Linked DNA regions of Oryctolagus cuniculus. The protein of the gene in region 3 purifies or fractionates together with the protein of the main gene of each other region. This does not show direct contact. Links are inferred from orthologs where the notes say so. Each region holds a gene or a part of one and is shown on either strand. Other genes may lie near its edges. The genes, in order: FN1, EGFR, LGALS1 and ITGA4.

Region 1 (3,381 bases), on a different chromosome or scaffold from region 3:
ATATTACTTGAAATATAAAAATGAATCGACTCGTGTCACAAATATAAGTAATGGAATATAATAGCCCATTGTTTTCAATGAAGATTGCGCTCCCCCCATAGCTCCCCAAATTTTGATACTTGAGGACTTGCTCTAACCCCAGGGTAGGTTTCACTGGCAGATGCATTTGGCATTAACCAATTACAGGTACCCAAGATGGGAAAGAACATGATGGAAACATGATCTTTAGGAAGATTAATCTGCAGCAGGAAAGGGTCATTAGAGGCCTCTCCAGGTCCTAACAGAGGACCAGGAGCCGCCAATGGAAACTGCCTTGATCTCTTTACAATAATAGTTAAGTGAGGAGGAGGCTGGTCCCCACGGTGACGGAAAAGAAACTGTGGAGTCAGTTTTTCTCTCTCTCCCTCTCCCGATCTCTCTCATCAACACTTTTAAAGCCTGTGATCATTTTGGTATAACAGTGTGATGGAGACTGAATTTGTTTAGAAGTAGATTTTGATCTCACTTCAACATCTTCTCATTATTTATGCACAACAAACCTTTCATGTGTGACACCTAGTATCTTCTAAAAGAAAGTGCTAAATGAGACCCTTAAAACTAAAGTGCGAACTGTTACATTTTTAATTGAAAGCAAACTCCATTGATTTTCTAAGTAGGTATTTACCTGTTTTGTGTTAGGTATTAGGACAATATGTTGTTAAGTGGGGAAATAGTTCTCAGATATTTCAATGAAAATATAAGCAAGAAAGTGATTATAGTATTTAGAATTCTTTCCATGGAAAGAAAAATCTCACTCAACTTAGGCAGACATGGCTCGTGTAATGGGATGTTCTGGAATCTACCAACATCAAGGGGTTGCTCCAGGGATGGGCTCTAAGGCCTCTGCCTGCCTCTCCTTGCACTGGCTTCTTTCTCCAGTGTGCTCTCTGCTGATGGTGACACTGATGACCCCCAGCAGCTTCAGTTTTACCTCCTCCCATCTTCAGCAAAACTCTCAGGGCAGAGCCTCACTGGCCCAGTTACCATCCCTTCTCAGGCCAGATGCAGGGCTCACACCTCACTGGCCCAGGGAGGTTCAGGAGGGGAATGGCCATTTGTTGCAGGAGAAGGAGCATGGCTGGGGTTGCCTCAACTCCTGAGTGGCAGCCCCAGCTCTGCCCACCAGCCGCTGTGTGACTTCCTTCCTGCCTCGGAGCAAGTCACTGCTCTCCTCTGGGTCCCTATTTCCTTAGCTGTAATATGACAGTGTTTGTTACATGATCTCAGGATCCTTTCGAAAGCTCTCAGAGTTTTTGAAACCTCTTCCATCATCAAGCACCGAGAGCTTATTGAGGAAGTTGGGACACAAATGAGCCTTAGCCTATGTGTGAGGTTTCAATGGGGGGAGAAGAGAGGAGATTTGAGGAGGAAGGGAAAACATAAGTAGATAGTAGATAAGAGATATATTAACAAGCAAAAATATACTCTTAAGAGTTTTAAATACATGAGATCATCATCAAATTTCTTTAGTGATTAACTTCTTATATTTTGCCAATGCATAAAGCTAAAATTCTTCTTGAACTCAAGCACTAAATTACAATGTCCTTGGATTATCATAAATCCTATTTGACTTCATGCATCTACCTGCTCAGGGCTGGCGCTGTGACAACTGCCGCAGACCAGGGGTTGAACCCAGTCCTGACAGCTCTACCGGCCACTCCTACAACCAGTACACACAGAGATATCATCAGAGAACAAACACTGTAAGTGCATTTGTACCATATCTCTCCCCCACCCTAAGTAGGTACAAAATAGGGGATCTTTCTATAGGTACCTTCCTTCTGAATAAACCAAATGTTTTCCATTAAAAAAAAAACAACTCACAAGTGATAAGTACAATCCTGTATCCTAGAACATAATTTAACTTATAAATTATTAAGGCCTTGAACATCATGGGCCAGTGTAGTGAGCTAGGTTCCTTTTATTAGAAAGAAATACTATCCTATATGCTCATATAAGTAGCTGTCATAGGAGTCTCCCCTCCCTGCCTTCGTATTTTTTCTGCATATCTTACACTACTATTGCCATTAATGTTTCTTCTTCTTCCATTTGAACAGAATGTTAACTGCCCAATTGAGTGCTTCATGCCTCTAGACGTACAGGCTGACAGAGAAGATTCCAGGGAGTAACATTTCCACCCCAGAGGAAGAAACATGTCTCTGCAAAGGTCCATCCCAACTGGAGTGACGTTGGCAGACCCTGTCTTTGCGTGTTTGTTACTTTTTAAGCCTTTTGCTCTGGAGTAAGTGCTCCAGCCTCAGCTCAACTCACAGCTTCTCCAAGCATCATCCTGGGAGTGTTTTGAGACTTTTCTCATAAATGAGGGCAATATGTTGCCTGTTCTGCTTCAAATTATTCAATACCGCTCAGTATTTTAAATGAAATGATTGTGATTGATGATTTGGTTTGGGGTCAATAAGGAAGCATATATAACCAACCAAAATGCCAAATGTGTTGAAATGGTCTTAACAAAATTTTAAGTAGGAAAGTTACCCAAACACTTCTGCTTTCACAGAACTCTGGCCCGCAACACTGTAGGAACAGCCTATCCTTGTTACTGTGATATTTAAAATATCCACAGTACTCACTTTTCCCAAATGATTCTAGTAATTGCCTAGAAATATCTTTCTTTTACATGTTATTTATCAATTTTACCAGTATTTTTATATGGAAAAAAATTGAATTGAAGTCACTTAGTATGCAGTTGAAAAAAGGAATTTGGTATAATTATGGTTGGTAATTATTTTTTATACTGTATGTGCCAAAGCTTTACTACTGTGGAAAGACAACTGTTTTAATAAAAGATTTACATTCCACAATGTGAAAGTCATTCTATTTTATATAAGGTACTTGGGGGGAAATAATAATCCTTGAATTTTTTTTCAATTTAATTCAGCAAACACTTGAAAATTTATGATGTGCCAGGCTCTCTTATCTTTGATAGTGTTTATACAAGATTTACTCAGTCTGTCTCTACAAAATCACAGATTCATTTTTGTCATTTCTTCTCTTCAATAATGGAGATGGCTTTATATTTTATATTAAAACAGATTTAAGGGATGTCCTAGCCAGCTTTTCAGAAATACAGTTGATACACTCTTTCTGGGTTTTTTCTAACTTATAATTCTTCCTTCTCTCTTTTCTCTTTTCCTTCCTTCACTGAATAAACATCTGTCGCTCCCCCTCTTCGTGGAGGAACGGCACAGGACCCTGTGCTGTTCCTTCATCTGCTCGGCCCTCCCCGGGTTCGCTGCTGGCTCCTCCCGGGCCGGCTACTATCCCTTCCACCTCCGTGGAAGGGCAGTTCCCCCTGGCCACATTCCCCACTTCCGCAGGGGAGCG
Region 2 (4,345 bases), on a different chromosome or scaffold from region 3:
GCCTCGTGTAAGCCGGCACGTGCACTGAGGGATCAACAACATCGCATCCATACTCTGCACAGAGTGGGCTGCCGTGGTCCTGCAGTGGGGGCTGGGGTGCCACCTGGAACCTTGTGTGCAAGGCCCCTCAGGGCTCTCAAGAGGAGCTCCTTCCTGAAGTCAGTTATCACTACACTCCAAGTACCTGCAAGCCGTTCAAAATCAACCTGATGTCACTTTTTATATCAAAGCTCAGAGACGTCCCAGGAGGAACTTTAGCAAACCCATTCCTCCCTGTGTGCAGGACTCTATCCCAGTGCTGGGCCCCGAGCCTGGCCAGAGTTTCCACGGACTTCTGCCACCGTTCCTGGAAGAGCTCTCCCCAGCACCACGGAGGAATGTGGTGGGGGCCCAGAAGGTCTCACACTTTGTCTTTTTTTGGGGTACTCAGGATAAATCGCTGCACTTTTAAAAGTCAGTCGAGGGTCACATGGACACCACGATTTGTGCCACCAATCATCCTGGCGGGCAGCGAGTGTGCCTAGGGTTCGTCCGTGGCTCCTGTAGCGGAACGCAGGATCACGGGTGCCCTTCTGTTTCCTGGCTCCTCTTCTAGCTTTTGTCTCTAGCTTTTGTATTTGCGTTTCTTTGCAGCCTGCTCTAAGTCTTCTGGTTTGGAATGTGGGCTGGGAACCAAACACACGGCTGGCTGTGGACTTCACAGCCTTGCTCACCCGGGGCAGCCGCGATTCCTCAGAACAAAGAACAAGCCAGCCGCTCACTCTGGTTCCCCGCAAACCCCACCTTTCCCGCGGCCGGGCGGGGCGCAAACCCGCAGAGCAGGGAAGCGCTGAAGAAGCCCTGGAGCCGAGGCGGGGTGCCCTCGGCCCAAGGGTTCAGAGAAAGTCCCCGCAGCTCCAGGAAGCTCCACTTCCTGTGGCCAAATCCTCAGTGACTCTTGCTGGCGTCTGCGGTGCTGTGCGCGACCGACATCCTCGGCCCTCGCTCCCGGAGCCAGTCCCTGGCACAGTGGAGGCCGTGGGCGCACCGGGACCTCACGCATTCACTCAAGGAACGCAAAGGAAAGCCGCTCTCCCAGCGGGGAGCCGAGCGCGCTCGTTCCCAACGACTTCGAGGGCGCTCAGGGGGCCCCTAGGGGCCCCAGCCGCCCGTCTGGGTCTGGCTCTGCTGGGGACTCTTGCCCCGGGGCCCCAGCGGCCCCTCTGCGTGGTCACCCACCTCGGCCCTCGGGCTCAGCCGGTTTGTCCGGAGCCTGCTCCAGGTGGCTCCGTCTACAGAAGGGGCCGGTGAGGGGACCAGGCCCGGCTGCGCCCCGCGCTGGGAACCGACCCGGCCTGGGGTCGCGGCGCGCGGAACGCCCCTCTCGGGAACTCGCTCCCGGCGCCAGGTCCCGCGGGGCCGCGGCGTCCACGCCTCCGCTCGCCGCTCTTCCTCCCGCTCGCATTCTCCTCCTCCTCCGCGCCTCCGACCCCTCCTCCTCCGCTGGGCCCTCCTCCCGCCGCCTCCCCACGCCCGCCGCCCGGCAGACGTCTGGGCAGCTCGGCGCAGCGCGGCAGCCGCTCCTCACCCGCCGCCCGGAGTCCCCGAGGCCAGGCGCGGGCGTCCCAGGCCGGACCCAGGCGGGACTCAGGCGCCCGCGTCTGCCCCGCGCACGGAGCCCGACGCCCTTCCGAACCGACCGCACAGTTGAGCGCGCAGCGGCAGCGATGCGACCCTCGGGGCCGGTCGGGCCCGCGCTCCTGGCGCTGCTGGCCGCGCTCCTGCAGGCGGGACAGGCGCTGGAGGAGAAGAGAGGTAAGGGCGCGACCCGCACCACACCGCGCCGCGGTCTTCCCGACTTCCGTGAGGACCCTCGGGCTGAAACCGCTCTGGACGTCTAGCTCCTGGGCTGCGCGAGTCGCACCAGGGGAGCTCCGGCGCCGAGCGCTGCCCAAGCTGCTCCATACCCGGCACGTGCGCCCCGCGCAGTCCGCGCACCCATGGGCGGTGCGTCCCACCCGCGGCCCTGGGAGTTTAGGTTGGATCCGGGAGCTGCGCGCACCTTCCGGGACTGGCGCTTCCCGAGCGCACCCTCCCCGCGCCGGCCCCACCCGGTCCCGGGCTGCAACCAGAGGCCCCGCGAGCCCTTCCCGCGTGAGGGGCTGCGGCCGGAGCGGGGGCTGGAGGACTCCTGTCGCCCACCACGCGAGGCTGCTGGGCCGGGACGGCGCGGGGAACTGGGGCTGGGGTCCTGTCCGGCACGCCCCTGGCGCGCAGTCCCCGCCCCGCGCCGAGCGGCCGGGTGCGGCCGGGCCAGGTGCTTGGCGGCGCGGCGAACCCGGCCCCCACCTGCGTGCTTGCTCCGCAGGACTGGCTGGGCGGCGGGTCTCGGCTCCGAGCCCGCCCTGCGCGTCCCCCACGGTTTTCTCAAAGTCCCAAGATTTTCTCCTTTTTGGCGTTTCCTTTTGCTTTCTGAAAAGTTTGATATTGGGCCAACCAAAATATTAAACTGTATCAAAACCAGGAAAGGATGCGGTCCGGGCCCCACGTGCGCGAAGGCCCCGCGGAGTGGGCCTCGCCGCGAGACGCCCGCCGCGGGAGGCCGCGTTGCACAATCCCCGGCTGGGCCGGCTTCCGAGAGAGTCAGGTCCCTGCTTGCCGTTGATGTCATCGGCCTCGGGTCTGGGCTCTGGCGCCGGGCGCGTCTGCGGGCCAGGGGTGCTGCGGCGGCCCCAAACTTCGCTGCAGGTGGGAATCACCTGGGACTGAAAAACGAAAATAGTAATAAACAACGAACTGGAAAAGAGGGGAGAGGGCGAGGGGAGGTTGAGGCGGGGGAGAGGAAGCGAGGACCACGTCCGGCTCCCGCTCACGGATACCCCGATTTAATTGGTGTGGGGTGAGAGCCGGCCTTGGGTTTTAACAGCTCGGGCAGGCTTGCGAGTCCTGGCGTGGAGGAAAGAAGGGCGAAGTGTCCAGAAGGCTCACCCGCTAGCCGTGGAGCTTCCCCCAATCTGCGCAGCTCTCGCAGAGCGCCGCGAAGGCAGGGCTTGGCCAAGGGGGCTCTGAGGCCCCCGGTGCGCGGCTCCGGTACACCGAGTGCTCAGTGCCTTCTCACCCCAGAAGTGCGCCCAGCTCCTAAGTGGGGCTGCCTCCCCGCTGCCGCCGTGGTGGGAGATTTGTTTCTTGTTTGCCCTGTGTTCGCCAGTGCTGTGGTGAGAAAGGGCGCGCACGCTCCGTTAACATGAGGCAGAGAGACTGGCGAGGATCTAATTACTAAAACTGCGAGGCATAATCTTCCTATAGAAGTTGTTAAGGACCCATGTCAATCACGTGCCAATTCCATTCCAGGAGAATTGGTGAGGGTTTTTTGGGTCTCAGCTAGGAAACCGGTATTGGCTGCCCTCAGATCTAACAACCAGACCTGGCTCCTGCGTCCTCACCTCCTTCCTCATTTTCCCGCCCTGCAGGAGAAGATCGATTTCCCCACCGCTCACAAGAGGCAGGGTCAGGGCTGAGACGCCACTGCCTTCTGCAGCCCAGGTGTGGGGAGCCAGGTCAGGTGTACGCGGCTGACTCACCTCACTTGCAGCACAGAGGAAAAGTACCAGGAACGGCTCATCAAGTTGGGCTCCCCTCCTGAGGCTGCAAACACACCCTGCTAACCAGTGGTCTGCTCTCCTCAGGGTTCCTCAGCCTGGTGGGGACAGCTCTGTCACCAAATCCCTGAGCCAAGCTTGCTAGGGGAGTTGAACAAGGCCTGGATCCTCGCTCCAGGGAAGGCACTGCTGAGGAGGAGGTCCTGGGGTGTTCCCAGGAGCTCAGGAATTCTCAGCCACAAGCTTCTTGTGGGGATGAGCCTGGCCACCCCTGGTTCAGTGGGCCTGGGCCGTGTTAAAGAGAAACCAAAGCAGAGGTGGTAGGGAATCCAAGACGAAGGATGGGATGCCCCGGCTGGCCTGGCAGCCGGCCTTGTCTTCTCACTCCAGCTGCGGGTGGAGGTGAACAGGTCACATCCAAGCGCCAAGCTTCTCGATCCCCTTTCTGAGTTCAGTATTTGTGAATTCAGTATTCACTGTGCGTGCCTGGTATCATGAGTTAAAAGGGAGGAGAGTTATGACAGCTACTGGAAATGGGATTCTGCAAGTCGCTAAATACTAGTAAATTTCCTTTTTACTCTTTCAGAGTCTTGTCTATCGCACAGACAGGCAGAAACCTGGTGATAGCTCCAGCCGGCTCTGAACAGTCATTTCTGGCTTCATGCATTTGGTTTCATAATCCATCGTTTTTCACAAACCTTTCTCTGGTGTTTGAAGAAGCCAGCTGCCAAAATCCATTGTGCTGCATGGTTGCGCTTGGTTCACGT
Region 3 (4,244 bases):
ACTGACCTTTTTTTTTTTTTTTTAAGATATTTATTTGAAAGAGTTACAGAGAGAGAGGGAGACACACACACACAGAGGTATCTTCCATCCAATTATTAACTCCCCACATGGCCGCAATGGCTGGGGCCAGGAGCCAGGAGCTTTTTCTGGGTCTCTCATATGGGCGGCAGGGCCCCAAGCACTTGGGCCATCCTCCACTGCTTTCCCAGTCCATTAGCAGGGAGCCAGATCGGAAGTGGAGCAGCTGGGACTCGAACCAGTGCCCATACGGGATGCCAGGGCCGCAGCCGATGGCTTCACCCACTGCTTCACAACTCTGGCCCCTGTCTTAAGGCCTTGAAAAAAAAACTACTTATTTATTTGCAAGCCAGAGTTACAGAGAGATCTTCCATCCACTGGTTTACTCCCCAAGTGGCTGCAATAGCCCGGGCTTGGCCAGGCCAAAGCCAGGAACTCCATCCTGCGTGGCAGGGGCCCAGGTACTTTTGACCATCCTCCGCTGCTTTGCCAGGTGCATTAGCAGGGCACGGGATCAGAAGTGGAGAAGTCAGGACCCGAACCGGCGCTCATATGGGGCGCTGGCATCACGGGCGGTGGCTCCACCCACTGCGCCACAGTGCCTGCCCCATCTCTTAGAGCCTTGCGGGGCTGAAAGCTCACGACTCCTGCAGACACTGTGTCCTAGCCCCTCCAGAAGGTTCCTGTCTGTCACCCCTGGCGCCCAGCACAGAGCGCCACACAGCAGCAGAGAATCACTGGGACAAATGGACGCATGATGCTGCCCCACCTCTGCACGCTGGGCAAGAACCAGAGGCGACTCACACCGGAGGCTCCCGACAGCATCTGCACTCACTTCCTCCTCACTCCGCACCTCCCCCACTCATCTTACTGATGGACCGAGGCTCAGGGCGGAAGATGGCTCACGGGTCCAGGGTCACACGGCGTGCGGCAAGAGAAGACAGAAGCATCGGCCAGCCACCGCAGGAAGGAGGGCCCTCTGGGAGGCCGGAGGGGACGCCCCCTCATCCCCTCTCCCCGCCCCCACGCTGGCTGCGGGGTGGGGAGAAGGGGGCGGGGCCTGGCGGGAGGTCTGCAGCTGTTTTAATTTAAGAGACTCGGGGAGAATGGTGGAGGGGCCAGACCCAGCGGAGGAAGTGACTCACTCAGCAGCTGCCTGTTAACCCGCTCCCTGCCAGGAGGAGCCGAAGCTCTGGCCGGCCACGCCCAAACCCGGTACCCGCCCAGACGGGACCCTCAGCTCAGAGCCCTGCACCTGCTGCCCGCCGCCCTCCTCCGAGCCTCACCGACTGGCGCTGGGGGCCACCTCGCCACGCACCAGGAGGCTCTGCCCAGGCTGGAGTTTCAGGTTGTTGGCCACCAGACCCTGCGGAGACAAGAAGCCGCCCTGACACGTTAGGGGCCGTGGCCTCTGCTGCCGTGGTAGGGGGCGTGAGGGTGGTCCTTCCCAGCTTGATTTCTCTGAGCAGACCAGCACGAAGCCTGGGGGGTGGGGCAGAGCAGTGAGTTCTGGCCCCTGAGTCTCCCTGTGGACCTGGGAAAGACCCCATCCCCTGCCTGATCTGCTTGCATCTGTACCCAGATGCTGCTTGGGGATTTGGGGTTACAAGGGGTCTGGGAGGTAGGGTGCTATGCTCTGTACCCCATTTAGAAGGTGGAGAGGAGCGGGGTCCTGGTGGGGTAGGTCCCGCTGAATGTAGAGGGAGTGGCCTGAGGCTGCAGCAGCGACCCCCACCCTCTCCAGCCCCTGTCTGCAGAGGCATGGTGGCCACAGAGGCGCGGCCAGGGCCCTGTGCAGGAGGGACAGCAGCCAAGGCCGGGGCTGCAGCCAGGCCGGCTCAGGGTTAACACGGCCGAGCCACTGCGGGCAGCCGGGCACTGGCGCGGGGGGCAGGAGGGCGGGAGTTAACTGATGTGAGTGGTTCCTTCTGCCAGCAATCAGAACCCTTTCCCTGGGGGCCTGGGAAAGCTTCTGCCTCCTCCCCACCTCGGCCTCCAAGCTCGGGGTGACGTGGGGGCCCCCCCAGCCTCCACCTGACCAGGCTGGGCAGGACCACCCACCCCCCTCACCCAGGGAAGGCCCCAGCCGGGCAGCCTCTCTTAGGTCCCGGCCACTCTGTAGAAGTCTCTGGAGCAGAGGAGGATTCTGAGCTGGTCGGGTGACTGGGGACAGCTGCAGGGGGGAGGGGAAGGAGGCTCTTTGCGGTGGAAGAGAGGAACAGTGGCCTGGGCCTCACCAGTCTACCCCCCACCCCCTGCCCTGGCCCCGGCCACACCCTTCCCACTCCCACTTCATAGAGAACTACAGAAAGTCAGACTTGGCAGGAAGAACTGTCAGACCTTGAAAGGATCCAGAATATTCTTAAGCCAGAGAAGGCCTTGGGGGACCATGGTCCCCACCCCCATTTTATAGATGTGATCACTGAGGCCCAGAAAAGAGAAGGCAGTCCTCCAAGGCCACAGAGCTGGGACCAGAGCCCAGCCCCCGCTCCGCTACACTCTCCCCTGGACTTTGGGAGGAGGGCCCCACACTCACAGCCATGATTGAAGCGGGACGATGGGTGATCCCAAGACTGCAGCACCGGCTGTCCGGAAGGCCCCGCCCGAGAGATGGCTCCTGATGGCTCTCACCCTTTTTTAAGTGACCCGGACCCTGGTCTGAGTCCCGCCCCCTGGCAGCTCAGCCAATTGTAAGTCAGAACAGGGGTAGGGGTGGAGTCCATGGAATTTTGAAGCCAGTTCTGGAGCAAAGGGTACCAATCAGAGCGGGGAACTCCCTTTTTAGCCACGCCCCTGGGGCCCAAGCTCCACCTCCTATTCTGCCTCCAGCCCCGCCCTAATCTCCCCAAATTTGTGCTGTGGCAGAGACTGGGGGAAGCCAATGGAAAATAGTTGAGCTGGGCCCAAGAGCTGATGGGACGGGGGCCTGGGGCCAGCAGGCAGAGCCCAGCGCGTGTCTGGAGAAGGCAGGGGCGGGAGGGAGGGCGTGTGCAGGGGGCTCCAGGGAGTCAGCGCTGGGCTGGGGTGGGGGCTGCTCCCAGGCAGGGTCAGGGCGTGGCTCTGGCTGTGGGCACTGCAGAGGGATGGGGACCCAGGACCACAAGGCCCGGGCCCCCCCACAAGTGGGGCTGTGCTCTTCTCTGAGTCTAAAAAAAGCCTGGGCGGGGTGCCAGGCCCCAGCCTGCCAGCCGGTGCTCCTGCCTCGGTGCTTCTGGGAGGTGCGCGGCCGGACAGCTCTGCCTGAGGGTGCCCGGCCTGGGGAGCAGCCCGGTGGGCCCGGCCGTGAGGGGTTGGGGCCCCTGCTCTGGGCACCCAGTCTGCTCTCTTCACTCCCCCCTTTGCCCGTGCATTCAGCAGCTATTCTGCGCTGTAGCTCCCACATGCCTGGCCCTGGGCTGGCCTCAGGACCTCCGGAGACGACTCCCTCACTGTCCCTGTTCCCAAGGAGCCCACGGTTGGGGGACACCAACCGGGAACCTGATTAAGAAGCGGCACCGGGCCGGCACCGCAGCTCAACAGGCTAATCCTCCGCCTTGCGGCGCCGGCACACCGGGTTCTAGTCCCGGTCAGGGCGCCGGATTCTGTCCCGGTTGCCCCTCTTCCAGGCCAGCTCTCTGCTGTGGCCCGGGAGTGCAGTGGAGGATGGCCCAGGTGCTTGGGCCCTGCACCCTATGGGAGACCAGGAGAGGCACCTGGCTCCTGCCATTGGATCAGCGCGGTGCGCCGGCTGCGGCGGCCATTGGAGGGTGAACCAACGGCAAAGGAAGACCTTTCTCTCTGTCTCTCTCTCTCTCTCACTGTCCACTCTGCCTGTCAAAAAGAAAAAAAAAAAAAGAAGAAGAAGAAGAAGCGGCACAGTCACAGCAAGCCCTGTGGTGGGATGGAGACGCCGCAGGCCGTGGAGAAGGTGGGTCTCTGCAGGTGCGCAGGAGCTCAGGAATGAGAGCGCAGGGGTGGGAGCAGCAGTGGGCACGTGGCCCTGCAGGGGGAGGCTTGGGGGACTAGGCCGGGAATCCAGATTGTACAGGCTTCACAGGCCAGAGGAAGGGCTTGGACACAGTCCAAGGTGCCGGGCAGCCACAGAAGGTTCTAGAATAGTGAGTGCTGAGGCCCGACTGGGGCTGCAGAGATCCCTGTAGCAGCAGAGGCGAGGCTGGTGGGAGGGCGCTCCTCTCACATCAGGAGGCAGGTGCACAGAGGGCAGGGAGCGCTGGGCAAGGTGAGGG
Region 4 (4,347 bases), on a different chromosome or scaffold from region 3:
AGACCCTCCTGATTAAACTCTCAAACTGCTGAACCTCCCTGCACGCTCCTTGTCCCTCAAATCTCTCCTGAAATGTCCCTAACGTCTCTGGACTTGTCTCTAGTTAGTAAGTTTGTCATCTATCATTTGACTGAAAACTTTCCTGAGGACTTGTTTTCAGTCCTGCCCTGTTCCTGGTGGCATCCTTTGGGCCTAGCAAGGTGCCTACTCAGTGAATGTGCTGGATCGGTGAACAAATATCTTCATTATGTGTCTGCAACTTAACATGTGCCATTTCAGTGGAGTTGTATGCACATAGACTACATGATGAAGCCTTGTTCTTCTTTCTTTTATATTTTCAAGTAGCAGTAATAAATGTACCAACATCTACAAATAACTATTTATGACTGTCACTGACTGCGCAAGAAAGAGACCAGGATGAGCGTTTGGCACAGTGGCTAAGATGGCATCTCATACAGGAGTGTGTGACTTTGGTGGCTGGGGTCCCCATTCCAGGGTCCTGCTACTGTGCACCCTGAGAGCAGTAGTGATAGCCCAAATGCTCCAGTTTCTGCTACCCACGCGCGAGACCAGGATTGAGTAGTTGCAAGCATTTGGGGAGTGAGCCAAGGATGGGAGATCTGATTCACTTTCTCTCTGTCTTTCATAAAGATAACTAACTAAATAAAAATTTAAAACAAAGAAACTGAATTGCTTTAGGATGAGAACATGGCCCAGTCCAAATCTTGCATTGTGGTTCTCCAGCACATTTTTCCAGGACCATGTTGACCTTGACCTCACACCTCTGAGGATAGGCGAGGCCGGGGTCTCACCAACAAGCCGGAAGAGAAAACCGCTCCAGCGGGGCGGGTCCCGGTGCTTTCCTAGCCCAGACTCGCTGCAGGGGTCATCGGCAGCCTGCGTGGCTGCCATCCCGCCGGGGGCGCCTGCTTCTTGCTCGCTCACGCGTGCAGCCGGGACTTAAGAGGAAGTGCGGGGAGGAAGGAAGTGGGCATAGAAGGGTGCAGGGCTGCGAGTCATGAAGCGAATAGTCGCAGCGTCTTTGTCACCAGAACGTTCCCCGGGCGCCGTCAGAGGGAGTTCTTTTTTCGCTCTTTGTTTTTAAATTTGTGATCCTCTGGTCAATGTTTCTGGTGGTTGCTTAAGCCCCCAAATTCAGATACTGCGTTTAACCAATCCGCCAAAAGACTACACGGTTTCCCGCCGCAGCGCCGGTCCCCGGGGCTAGGGCGGACCGCAGAGACCCGGCGTTTGCCAGTGGGGCGTGCGCGGGCAGTAGCCACGACGCCCCGAGTGCATCCAGGCCCTAGCCACGGTTGAAAGGGGAAACCCCTTGCTCCCTCCAGGTCCACTCTTGCTAAGCCCCGGATTCCCGAACCCTTCCGCCCTCGTTGGGCTGGGAGGCCCAGGCAGGGACGCGCGTCCTGCGTAGCCGAGGTCCCCCAGCGCCCCCTACAGCCGCTCGTGGGGGGAGCCGGAGCCCGGCCCGCGCCTCTGCACCACGCCCAAGACCCCACCTAGCCGCCCGCGCCCCGGGGCCGAGTGAGCGCCGGCACCTCCAGGCCGCAGGATCGGGGCGTGGGGCCCGGCGCGGGCGCGGCAACCCGGGCCGAAGGCTATCGCCCCGCCCGCGGCTGGCGACTTCCCCTCCCTCCCTGGGGCTGTCCCTCCTTCTTTCCCTCCCGCCAGCCGGCGCCGGACACGCTGCGCCTCCTCTCTTGGGGCGCTCTAACCCCTGGCCAACCGTCGCGTCCCGAGCAACTTTGGGTGAGCGGCCGTTTGGTGTTGAATGTTCCCCACCGAGAGCGCATGGCTGGGGAAGCGAGGCGTGGATCTGGCTCCCGAGGGGCCGCCGTCCGGGAGGCGGTGATGCTGTTGCTGTGCCTGGGGATCCCGACCGGGCGCCCCTACAACCTCGACACCGAGAGCGCGCTGCTCTACCAGGGCCCCCCGGGCACGCTGTTCGGCTACTCTGTCGCGCTGCACAGCCACGGGTCGAATCGATGGTGAGTGGCGCTGCCACGGGCATCTCAGGGCGACGTGAGATCCCGGTCGGGTTGGAACTTTCCTCCCCTCCGGGGGCGTAGGCGGTGGGGAAATGCGATACAGCCAGTTTGCTAGAGATCTGCCCGGGAAGCATACTGATTCTGGGGGACAGCGCCGGGGAGTAGGGGTGGCCGGCGCAGTGCGCGGGTGGTGCGCAGAGGAGGGGGTGGGGGAGGCTGCCCCATGCCTGCTGAGACCTGGAGCTCAGCGGGCAGCACCGCTCACGTCTGAGCGCACGTTTCTCTCTCTAGGCTCATAGTGGGGGCGCCCACTGCCAACTGGCTCGCCAACGCTTCAGTGGTCAGTCCTGGGGCGATTTACAGATGCAGGATCGGACAGAATCCGGGCCAGACGTGCGAACAGCTCCAGCTGGGTGAGTTGGATCTGGGAACAGAAGTCACCGTCCTGCACCCCCCAGCCTTGAGGACTGTACTGTAGGGCAAGTCCTGGAAAAAGCCCTGTTGCCTATTCCTTCTGCGTTAAGGTGCATGATTCGCAGAGTTAATGCCACACTGTCTTCTTGTCTATTATAAAAGCGGCCCCCTTCTTTCTACCTGTATCTTTCTCTTTCGCTGGTGACATTGATTGCAGTACTGTGGCACGGTTACACAGAGGACCTTTCCTTGTGATGCCTACTTTTTACCCCCCGCCCCCACCTTGTGCAAAAACACATTTCAAAGTCTCAGCATATTAAGAACAGGATTCAGCCAGGTCAAGACTTAAACGTTTTATTTCCAGCTTTGACCTATCAACTTTATTAAAGAACAGGCTAACGGACAGATCAGGAGTAGCAGTTGCCTGTCGTTTAACCTAAGGACTTAAAAAAAAAGAGAGAGAACAGAAAAGAAAGTAATGTAGTTTTTCTTAGAATATACAATGCAAAATAAGTGTACAAGGAAAAACATGGGCATCTCCATCGTTGATAGTTAACACGAGGCTTAAACTATACTTACTAGTTTTCCTTGCCAAAAACTCTGCTTTAAATGGATCTTTCTGCGGTCATCTCTTAATGCCTGTTTGTAGGTTTGTGACAACACGAAACATATGTACTGTTGGGGGAAGGGAGAAGTTTCATGTTCAAAGACAAAAGCAAATTTGCTGCTTACAGGCACTCTGGGGGAGAAAGGGGAACTAATACTAATGTTGACCTATCTTGTTTCAAACACTGTCAGGCACTGCTATATACATTGCTTAATTTTTTTTTTTCTCAAAAAGCACCCCTGGGTGATGGTTGACATTGTTCCTACTTTTCTTTTTGAGGACTCTGACTCAGACAGTTGCAAATATGTTTTCTGGAGTTACTTAGATACTGACTGGTAGCTGGGACCCCGTTATTACTGGTCAGTCAGGTATGCTTGGGTCCAGAGTCTAACCCCTGTTGTGTATGCATGTTCAATGCAAATAAAGTTAAATAGAGGGTCTAGTATGTGGTCTCCTGAGCTAATACATCATCTGTACATGGTAAACCAAAAGGTCACAATTGGCACTTTTCGTTCATCTTTCTTTGCGATAAATGACTAGGGATTAGCTAGTGATTGCATCTGTGTAACCCCATTTTCATCTTCGTGTAGTTTTTGTTTCTTCTCAAACAGTGAAGCTGGTTTATTTCATTCAAATGAATTCATGTAGAGTACATATAATGGGATGTTTAATTTCTTGTCTATTTGAGGGAGGGGAGAAAGAGAGAGAGAGAGAGAGAGAGAGAGACCCCCTATCCATTGGTTTCCTCCTCAGATGCCCACAACAAAATCCAGGGGCCAGGAACTCAATCCACATCTCCCACATGGTTGTCTGGAACCCAGCCACTTGAGCCATCACCTGATCAGCGAACCCAAGTGCTCTGATATGGGATGTGGGCATCTTAACTGGTGTACTAATCACTAATGCAAATGCCCATAGCAGAATTTTTATTTTGCACTCAGCACCCACCAAAATCCAGGAGTTGTCTGCAGCACATAGAACAAGCCCCGCCTTCTTGTTCAGCATCTCCCATCCCAAAAGGTAGACTGAGGATTCATAAAACATTGTTAGGTCAACCTTGATCTGCTAGAGAGTGGTGACAAGGTCTCAGGAGGGAACAATTTCATTTCTGATGTCCTGCCAGTTTCCTGATCCATGATAGTATAACCTACTTCCTGTCTGGAAGGACGTTGATCCTATTTCTGGATGTCTATGTTGAACTAGAACGATATGGTTGTAGTATTATATAAAATTCAAGATAATAATGCCTATAATAAATGAAAGGAAGACCTAAATTCTTTGAGCATCTGGTACATATATAGGTTGAATACAGAAATATCA

Evidence for each region.
Region 1: the proteins of LGALS1 (region 3) and FN1 purify together in Homo sapiens (affinity purification with mass spectrometry; 3 studies listed by BioGRID and IntAct, with this or other methods). This does not show direct contact. The link is inferred for Oryctolagus cuniculus from reciprocal best matches to the Homo sapiens genes LGALS1 and FN1.
Region 2: the proteins of LGALS1 (region 3) and EGFR purify together in Homo sapiens (affinity purification with mass spectrometry; 3 studies listed by BioGRID and IntAct, with this or other methods). This does not show direct contact. The link is inferred for Oryctolagus cuniculus from reciprocal best matches to the Homo sapiens genes LGALS1 and EGFR.
Region 4: the proteins of LGALS1 (region 3) and ITGA4 purify together in Homo sapiens (affinity purification with mass spectrometry; 3 studies listed by BioGRID and IntAct, with this or other methods). This does not show direct contact. The link is inferred for Oryctolagus cuniculus from reciprocal best matches to the Homo sapiens genes LGALS1 and ITGA4.

The regions. Positions count from the first base shown.
Region 1 is NC_091434.1:23,977,942-23,981,322, forward strand, and holds the end of FN1 (fibronectin), read left to right. Parts: intron 1-1,631; coding exon 1,632-1,742; intron 1,743-2,096; coding exon 2,097-2,168; 3' UTR 2,169-2,858; downstream 2,859-3,381. UniProt on the Homo sapiens protein: Fibronectins bind cell surfaces and various compounds including collagen, fibrin, heparin, DNA, and actin. Fibronectins are involved in cell adhesion, cell motility, opsonization, wound healing, and maintenance of cell shape.
Region 2 is NC_091447.1:57,745,622-57,749,966, forward strand, and holds the start of EGFR (epidermal growth factor receptor), read left to right. Parts: upstream 1-1,512; 5' UTR 1,513-1,706; coding exon 1,707-1,794; intron 1,795-4,345. UniProt on the Homo sapiens protein: Receptor tyrosine kinase binding ligands of the EGF family and activating several signaling cascades to convert extracellular cues into appropriate cellular responses.
Region 3 is NC_091442.1:114,555,552-114,559,795, reverse strand, and holds the start of LGALS1 (galectin-1), read right to left. Parts: upstream 2,846-4,244; 5' UTR 2,561-2,845; coding exon 2,555-2,560; intron 1,385-2,554; coding exon 1,305-1,384; intron 1-1,304. UniProt on the Homo sapiens protein: Lectin that binds beta-galactoside and a wide array of complex carbohydrates. Plays a role in regulating apoptosis, cell proliferation and cell differentiation. Inhibits CD45 protein phosphatase activity and therefore the dephosphorylation of Lyn kinase.
Region 4 is NC_091434.1:59,370,009-59,374,355, reverse strand, and holds the start of ITGA4 (integrin alpha-4), read left to right. Parts: upstream 1-1,505; 5' UTR 1,506-1,809; coding exon 1,810-2,006; intron 2,007-2,297; coding exon 2,298-2,419; intron 2,420-4,347. UniProt on the Homo sapiens protein: Integrins alpha-4/beta-1 (VLA-4) and alpha-4/beta-7 are receptors for fibronectin. They recognize one or more domains within the alternatively spliced CS-1 and CS-5 regions of fibronectin. They are also receptors for VCAM1.